Callithrix jacchus: one gene and its partner. Each later gene encodes a partner of the first gene's protein in a complex. Links are inferred from orthologs where the notes say so. Each region holds a gene or a part of one and is shown on either strand. Other genes may lie near its edges.

The links.
Region 2: the proteins of CFTR (region 1) and YWHAQ are in contact, whole or in part, in a crystal structure (PDB 7QI1), measured with the Homo sapiens proteins. The link is inferred for Callithrix jacchus from reciprocal best matches to the Homo sapiens genes CFTR and YWHAQ. Residues at the interface, in NP_000483.3 of Homo sapiens: Arg764, Arg765, Arg766, Gln767, Ser768, Val769, Leu770, Asn771, Leu772, Met773, Thr774; in NP_006817.1 of Homo sapiens: Asn38, Arg41, Asn42, Ser45, Val46, Lys49, Arg56, Arg60, Glu113, Phe117, Lys120, Arg127, Tyr128, Glu131, His164, Pro165, Ile166, Gly169, Leu172, Asn173, Val176, Glu180, Ile217, Leu220, Asn224, Leu227, Trp228.

What each region holds. Positions count from the first base shown.
Region 1 is NC_133512.1:88,177,434-88,181,939, reverse strand, and holds part of CFTR (cystic fibrosis transmembrane conductance regulator), read right to left. Parts: intron 3,168-4,506; coding exon 3,081-3,167; intron 1,580-3,080; coding exon 856-1,579; intron 1-855. UniProt on the Homo sapiens protein: Epithelial ion channel that plays an important role in the regulation of epithelial ion and water transport and fluid homeostasis. Mediates the transport of chloride ions across the cell membrane.
Region 2 is NC_133515.1:105,390,180-105,394,685, reverse strand, and holds part of YWHAQ (14-3-3 protein theta), read right to left. Parts: intron 4,199-4,506; coding exon 4,075-4,198; intron 741-4,074; coding exon 577-740; intron 1-576. UniProt on the Homo sapiens protein: Adapter protein implicated in the regulation of a large spectrum of both general and specialized signaling pathways. Binds to a large number of partners, usually by recognition of a phosphoserine or phosphothreonine motif.

The DNA of each region.
Region 1 (4,506 bases):
GATGTATTTTATTCCCTCATTTTACAAAGGAGGCAACTTCAGCCTAGAGATGTTAATGACTTGTGTCTTGTCAAAGGTCACATTATTCTCAAATGATCTATGCTATTAAACATAACAATTCATTACAACCCTGCCTATGGCTCATTTCATCCAAGGCATTAAGTTTTCTACTAAAACAACAAAAACTTTCCTTAGTATATTTTTTTCCTCTTTTAAAAATAAAATGCTTTTATACTGGAAACCTAATATAACAAGCATTCTGTCTGAAGATTGGCACTAGTATATGTTGAGCTTCATATACATTTTTTAAAAGAAAGCTTTTCAGAAACCCAATGTATAAAGCAAACTTACAAGATAAAAAAAGCCCACACTAGCTAAATTCAGGCAAGACTGATATATAAACCAGAATATGAGTTAGTCCTATTAAGAGGCTAAATGTTTATATACCTTATATAAACTACTTCCATACAAATTATTTTGCGAGCTCTAAATAATGAAAGCTACTATTTGTTTACAGAGTTATTTAAACTGCACCTCTTTCCACAGAGAGTTCAAGATGGTAATAAAGCAGGTGCTTTCTAACTTATAGTCACGATTATCACTGGCTTTGTAAAGGACTCCAAACTAAATCCTTTCCCATTTCATGGGAAGAGATATGTCCATTGCAAAAAGAAATTATTTGTTATTTTACATTTTAAAGTTGCTTGCATAATTAATAAACTTCATACTTTCTGAGTTTTAAGACAAACCTTATCCTAATCTCATAATTTGAGTAAATTTTGTTACATGCTACATATTGCATTCTACTCAACTGCACTCTGGGGGGTGAAGTACCCGCAAGCAATTTATACTGACCTTTAAGTCTTCTTCATTAATTTCTTCACTTATTTCCAAGCCAGTTTCTTGAGATAACCTTCTTGAATATATATCCAGCTCAGTCAGGTTTGCCTGAGGGGCCAGTGACACTTTTCGTGTGGATGCTGTTGTCTTTCGGTGAATGCTCTGACCTTGGTTAACTGAGTGTGTCATCATGTTCAGAACAGACTGTCTCCTTCGTACCTGAAGTGCGGGGCCAGTGTTGATCACGCTGATGCGAGGTAGTATTGCTTCTCCCTGCTCAGAATCTGGAACTAAGGAGAGCCTTCTCTCTAAAGGCTCATCAGAATCCTCTTCGATGCCATTCATTTGTAAGGGAGTCTTTTGTACAATGGAAAATTTTCGTATAGAGTTAATGGAATTGAGAATAGAATTCTTTCTTTTCTCCCCAAACTCTCCAGTCTGTTTAAAAGATTGTTTTTTTGTTTCTGTCCAGGAGACAGGAGCATCTCCTTCTAAAGAGAAACGGCGTAAGGTCTCAGTGAGGATTGAATTTCTTCTTTCTGAACTAAATTGGTCAAAAGAATCATATCCCATGAGTTTTGAGCTAAAGTCTGGCCGTAGATTTTGGAGTTCTGAAAATGTCCCATAAAAATAGCTGCTACCTTCATGTAAAATTAGTATTTTGTCAGCTTTCTTTAAATGTTCCATTTTGGAAGTGACCAGAATCCTAGTTTTGTTAGCCATCAGTTTACAGACACAGCTTTAAGAATATAAAAAGATATAAATATCAATTTTATAAATACTTTATTACAATAATGTCTTGCATTTTAGCATTTTATTGTTTTATTGCATATAATCTGTATTATACAATTTTATTATATTTTAAATGATTCTATAAGTACCCTGTAGTAATTAAATTAGTACCTTGTGAATTCTGATAGCATGAAATATCATGCTGTATTAAAGAAAAGTTGCATGTTAACAGACTGAGAATGAAATAAAATTTCCTATATTAAGCAGATATTTGGCTGTGAGCAAATCATTTATCCTCTGGGTCTCAGTTTATTTATCTAGAAAATGAGGAAAGTATTAGATGATCTTCAAGGTCCCTAGAGAGCTGTACTTCCATGTCTTTTAAATGTCAGAGTCTTATTGTTCTTTAAATTTTCTATTAATTTCTTTCTTTTTTTTACATTTTAGGTTGACCACCAATTTATTTCTCAAGTGCTTACATTAAAACTAATCTGTTTCACTAAAAATAAAACAGCAACAATAACTGAGAATTTGATAATTAATTTGACTCTCTTCTAATAAAATTTTCATTTATTCTAGAAGTAAATCCAGACTAGAATGATCTAAGAAATATCAGTTTTTTAGGCATTAAAATATTATATATCATATAGAAAGATACATCATTCTAGATTATTCCGTAACACACTAACACAACAATACAAATGCAGCAAGGTTTATATTAATATAGAAGTTACTTATCACAGTCACAGGGTTGTAAAAATAGTATCTTGGATATCAAATTTAACTAAATTTTAAGAAAAGTACTTCTAGGCATAATCCAGCCATTTTATACACATATCCATATTTATAGCTTAAAGTCTTTATTTCTAGAAGAGCATAATAACTGTTCTCCTAATAGACTACCTTACAGTCCATGGAATCATTTTAAAATTTTGAAGTCAGGTCATATAACTAACTGTCTGTCTAGGGAATATCATGTATATTGGACCCTAACGGTAGTTCCAAGGAAATATAAGTTCTGAGCTCTGTGTGACTGAGAAGGAGGTCCCCGAAGAAGTACTGAGGTAGATGAGTAGTCTAAGCATTCACCTACATTAAACCAGTAGCAAAACTAGCAAAAACATTTGGCATAGGCATTTTCTTAAGAAGTGTACTACTTAAGGAGAAGACAGAATAAAATACTAACACAAAAAAGTAAATGAAAATGTTAAGCATAATAATCAATTAAAGTAATATATGTCACAAGACAATAATACTGCAAAAACTACACAGATGGCAATTGCTATAACAGTATAGCAATGGGAAAAATTGGTTTAGCATGAAATGGACAGAAAAGGGTTTAATGGAAGTGATCTTGAATCTTGGCCAGGTAGGGAAGATCAGGCTTGAGTTAATACCAACAAGGGTGAACATATTTCTTAAGAGGTAAAATGTAGTGTATGATGGTACAGTCTTTCTTTCTTGTATTTTAGCATGAGCATTGTAAGTAAGTTATTCAAAAAACATACCTTTCAAATATTTCTTTTTCTGTTAAAACATCTAGGTATCCAAAAGGAGAGTCTAATAAATACAAATCAGCATCTTTGTATACAGCTCTAAAAGGAAAATGGAAATTAAATTACATTTCCTCACTATTTCCTGTATCTTTTAGTGTAGATGATTTTCCTTAAACAGTTCACTACATGCATTACAATATGGTCACCACATCCATTCACTGAAATAACACTATTCTCAAAACTGGTGCAGAAGTAGCACTTTTATACATGTCTTTTTACTAGGGTAGATTAATTTAAATGAGAAATAAAGGAATAAGTTGAAAAGATTTTTATCACTTTTCACAACATTCCAAGAACTGCTGACATGCTTTTGTTAGATGTAAGTGGAATAAACTAGCAAAAGTTACAAACTGAATTGTACCATAGCATACACTTTAAAATATGACCTTAAAAAAGAAAACCTTTTATCAATAGTATCTATTTAGAGGCCAGTACCATGCTATGTGCTCAAAATACAATGGCAAAAAATGATACAGTTCCTGCCTTCAAAGATCTTACATTTAGGTGAGGATACCAAGAAGAAAGTAGACTATTTCAAACTGTAAAATGTCAGAGATAGCTAATAAATTGCAGCATTTGTGTGAAATTATTTTTAAAATGTTTTTCTAAGTGTTAACTGCTATCAACAAATTGAAAGCAGTGCTGCCACAACTGTATAATCAATATCGCAATTTGTTCCTGTGGTTTCAGTCTCTGTATCATATTCGTAAAAGTTCCAAGTAAGTGTGAGTACTTCACAACAAAAGGTATACCCATAATATTTTACTATTTATATTTTACTATTATAATAGTAAAATATATGAAACTATAAGCTAGTAAAATATGAAACTATAAGCAAGTAAAATCTACATTTCATTGATCTTAGAACCATAATAAAGATGAAGACACAGTTTCCATATTAATAGAAATGGGATAATTTCTTCATAACACTTAAATTTTTCAAGTGTGATTGTAACTTTACTTATATCTCATGTACATAGGACTCTGTGTTTATACATGTAATTATTGGTACTTCTGTAGAAAATTGTGTTCAACCAGCACACAATTAAGACATTTTTAAAACCAATTTAAAATTTTTTTGAAAAACCAATGACAAAATTTTAAAATAAAGTCTAAAGCAATTTTCGATGTGTAACTTATTTTTGAAAACAGCATGCAAGAGCTAGGTAATGGATCCCATCAAAATGTACACAGGTTTTTTCCCCCCACACTCAGTTCTTAATTCTCTCCCTCACATCTATGACCAGTTCCTTATGAAATCAGAAATAATAAATTCATCATCCAACATGGACAACACATTACACATTCTGATGAGAATATGAATAGACAATTATTTTTAGTAGTTCCTTAAAGGGTATGCTCCTTACAGCAAAACCAA
Region 2 (4,506 bases), on another chromosome or scaffold:
GGTGAACACCTATCTTATGTTCTAATATCAACAAACTCAACGGAACCATTCTCTCACACTCTCAGTTTAAGAACTTAAGAGTATGACTGCACTTTTATAAAACTATACATTTAAGTAAACAAGCATGTCTTCATTCTTTCACAGGACAAACAGAACAGCAGCAACGATTAATATACTTCTTTCCAATAAGAAGTAGTATTTATCTGTACAGGCTCCTCTTCACGCTCTCATTTTGAGCCACTTTGAGGAATGCAGCTAATGCACAGCTACTCTAGTGACCAAACCTGGCAGGCATTACTTTCCAATCTTTTATGTTTCCTTCTTAACATCATTTATCCTTCTTTGATTATTCTGCTCAGTATGCTCTGTAGACAGACATAACTGCTTATAATCATAGTTAGTGTAGAATAAGGTGTCAGGGGCAGAAGTTACTGATCTTGATGGTAAGAAAGAGATTTCAAAATAAATACAGTAGAAATCATCCCTTGGTAGCCAAGTAAAATACCAATAAATTAACATACCTGGTATCTCAAATAACTGTAGCTAAAGTGGGTATTTCCTGGACACACATCTTACCGTTTTAGCCAGCGTGCAGGCAAGCTCTGGGTTATTAAGAATCTCATAGTAAAATACAGAAAAGTTAAGAGCAAGCCCCAGGCGTATTGGGTGTGTGGGTTGCATTTCCTTCTTGCTTATATCAAATGCCTCTTGGTAAGCCCCTTGGGAATTATCTATCGTTTCTGTGAAGAGAAAAAAATTAAAAGTGCAATACTGACAATAATCATCCAGTACAAAGTATATTAACAACCTGAACATACGCTATGAGCTCTTTGGTAGAACCAAGACTTTTCTCTGTATGGGTCTTTTAAAATCACGGTAGCTAACAAAAAAACATTATTGTGGCTGGGTGCCATGGCTCACGACCATAATCCCAGCACTGTGGGAGGCTGAGGTGGACAGATCACCTGAGATCAGGAGTTCGAGACCAGCCTGGCAAGCATGGCAAAACCCCATCTCTACTAAAAATACAAAAATTAGTCAGGCATGATGGGCGGGCACCTGTAATCCCAGCTACTTAGCAGGCTCAGGCATGAGAATCACTTGAATGTGGGAGGCCAAGAATATGCCCCTGCACTCCAGCCTGGGCGACAGAAAAACGCTCTGTCTTTAAAAAAAAAAAAAAAAATTATGTACTGGGTATTTGAGAACTAGTTTATGGCCAGGTGTAGTGACTCATGCCTGTAACCCTGGGGCGGGATCAACTGAACCCAAAAGTTCAAGACCAGCTTGGGCAACATAGGAAGGAAGACCTTATCCCTGTTCTCTATGAAAAATTAAAAAGAAGAAGAAGAAAAAAAAGCTAGGCATGGTGGTGCATGCCTGTAGTTCCAGCTACTTGGGAGGCTGAGGTGGGAGGATCCCTTAAGCCCACAAGGTCGAAGCTGCAGTGAGCCAAGATCATGCTGCTGCACTCCCAACCTGAGTAACAGAGTTTGTCTCAAACAAACAAACAACCAGTTCAGAATGTTGCTTACATATAATCAGCTTAATTTTTTAAAAATCATGAGATATTATAGTAAATCGGATTTTTTCCATCCTCAGGCTACAAGCTACTTTATTCTTTTATATCTTTTAATTCTATTACTTGGAAATGTAGCAATTAAAAATAATTTGACTGGGCCAGGCACAGTGGCTCACACCTGTAATCCCAGCAGTTTGGGAGGCCGAAGCGGGCGGATCACCTGAGGTCAGTAGTTTGAGACCAGCCTGACCAATATGGAGAAACCTTGTCTCTACTAGTAATACAAAAATTAGCTGGGTTTGGTGGTGCATGCCTGTAATCCCAGCCACTTGGAAGGCAGAGGCACCAGAATTGCTTGAACCTGGGAGGTGGAGGTTACAGTGAGTCGAGATCGAACCATTGTACTCCAGCCTAAGCAACAAAAGCAAAACTCCATCTCAATAATAATAATAATTTGACTGGAATACACTTCCCCTAAATAATATAAAGTTTACAAAGATCGTCACCACCAAAATCTCTATTTTTCTAATTGGAGAAATACTGACTCTTAGTATCAAGATGCATTATTTGAAAGGCAATATAAAAGTTTCAATACACAGGACAAAATCTGCTCCAACCCGAGTATGATTACTGGCCTAATCAAAATGTTACTCTCCCTTCAAAAAATTTTCAGTTATTACCAACACTAATCTGATTATACCCATATTTTGAAAAGGGCAGTTTTCTGTATGAGGGCACTGGCCTATAACAGCTTTAGAGATACTGACGTAAGAGAATTAAGCTATCCCTTTATGACCTGAATATGTGCGTTTTCCTTCCTCTGAAATGGCACATTTATTGATCTAATCCTGAATGGTATAGACTGCATGCAAGCATAATAATAATAATTATTATTATTTGCAGCCTGGCAAATTAGGAAGCACTAGAATAGTAGTAAGTAAAGTGTCTCAGCAGTTAGGCTATAAAGACAGCCTATCTACAAATCCCAGACTATGAGAATGTACATGGGACTACACGTGATACCTGAAAGTGCCAATGAGCTCCTAAAAGTTAAATCAGGTTAAAGCTGCGGCTATGTCTCAATCTCCCAAAGACTTCTCTTTGGCTTCCTGATACTTAAATGTTCAGTTCCGTGCCAGTATCATGTCCAATTCTGCTTATCTTCATGGCAATAGAAATTATACATCAGTAACAGAATAAGTTTAGTATACAGATTTTGTTACAGCAAGGTACAACAGTTTCTCAAGGTACAACTTGTCTTTATATATTCAGTTACACTGATATTTAGGATGGCAAAAAACAAAATAACAAACTTTCTGGAAAAAATAAGGAATTAAGTGATACTTCTACTACCTAGAACTTGATAAATCTGGTAGCAAGCACATGCACAGAATTTAATAGGATCTTATACTCTGCTACCAGCATCCCAGGAGACACTCACTGCAAATAAATTCACTTCACTTTTTTATTATCAAGTTAGGCAATTTGATCACTTTTTCCCATATCCATGTTTTTTTATGATAGTCTAGGTAAAAACAAAATAGACATTTAATACTGAAATCTATTTTTATGACTACTACTTGATTAATCATCAATTCCTGTGTATTCAACTTTCTCAAGTAAAACCTAACCATATGGGTCATTCAAATTTACTGTGAAGCAATAAACCAGCAATATACCAGCAATAATATACCAGCAATAACATATTCATCTCACCTCTCCTCCTCAGAAATTTGATTACATGTAATTAGCAGTCAATGTTATGACCCCTTAAAATAGATGATAATGAATTAATATGACAAACAGAAAAGGCACAACATCCTGATTCCATGTTCTATGAGTAATTTCAGTTATCTGCATTTTAAGGCATAATGACAAAAAGGCCATGTGAAATGCAGAATGACTCATAAAGTTTGCGCAAAAATCTCTGGAGCTAAAAACGAAACCAAACTGGCAGGATAAAGTAAATTCTGCCATTTTTCTAGACCTTTGAGTTGCACATCAAATCTAGGGCTGATCACTCCAGACTTCTTTAGCCTGCCTGTGAGGTTCACAACAATTTTCCCAGCTCTGTGATCATCAATGATTTCAAATTTGCCAATGTAACCATGCTTCATCATCACAATGAGAAACCAGATGATGACTTTGGAGCATGGCCTAATAAGCACCTGGTGTTTGCCTCTTTTCGGCATCGTTGATGCTCGAGAGCATCAGCCAGGACATTTATGTGGACCACTGTGGTGGCGCGGAAAGATGGTGGAAAGAGCACAGTGAACCAAAATTCTAAAGCATGAAAGATTATGCCTGTTTTAAGTAATACCATGTGCAATTATAACTAAAGTTCATAGATGAGTCTTTCTTTTAAAGGGCACATGATGTAAATTTATGACCCAATTTTCATTTTTGAGAATGTAAGATAATACTAATTTTCTTGATGTATGTTCAATTATTTTTACATCACAAAGAGCCTGGAGGCTACATATATTGTCACAGTGACCTGTTTGTCCCCTTTTTTTGTACTTTAGTTTTGCCCATATAACAAATATACTTACGTTTTCGATCATCACCACATGCAACTTCAGCAAGGTACCGGAAGTAATCACCCTTCATTTTCAGATAGAAGACCTTACTCTCTGGATTAGTTGCATTGGCTATTAAGTATTTATCCAGCAACTCCTGAAATAAATAAGACACGGGAACATTAGGCACTGAACTTCTGCCTGCTGCACATTATCATTAAATGATCAAACTTCTGCTTGTCGGGCATTTCAATCATTAACTACTACAGTAATACTATACCATATCAGCCTGGACTTGAAGCATGTTCTTAGGGCAGGGGTTAGGTTGTCGCCCTGGGAGGCTTTAAATGATGATGTAGCCTATAATTTCTAATGGTAATACTAGATTACACCACACATTGTAATTTGAAAGACACTGTCTGTTCTCTCATCTATTCATTCAACAAACATTTACTCACACCGCTA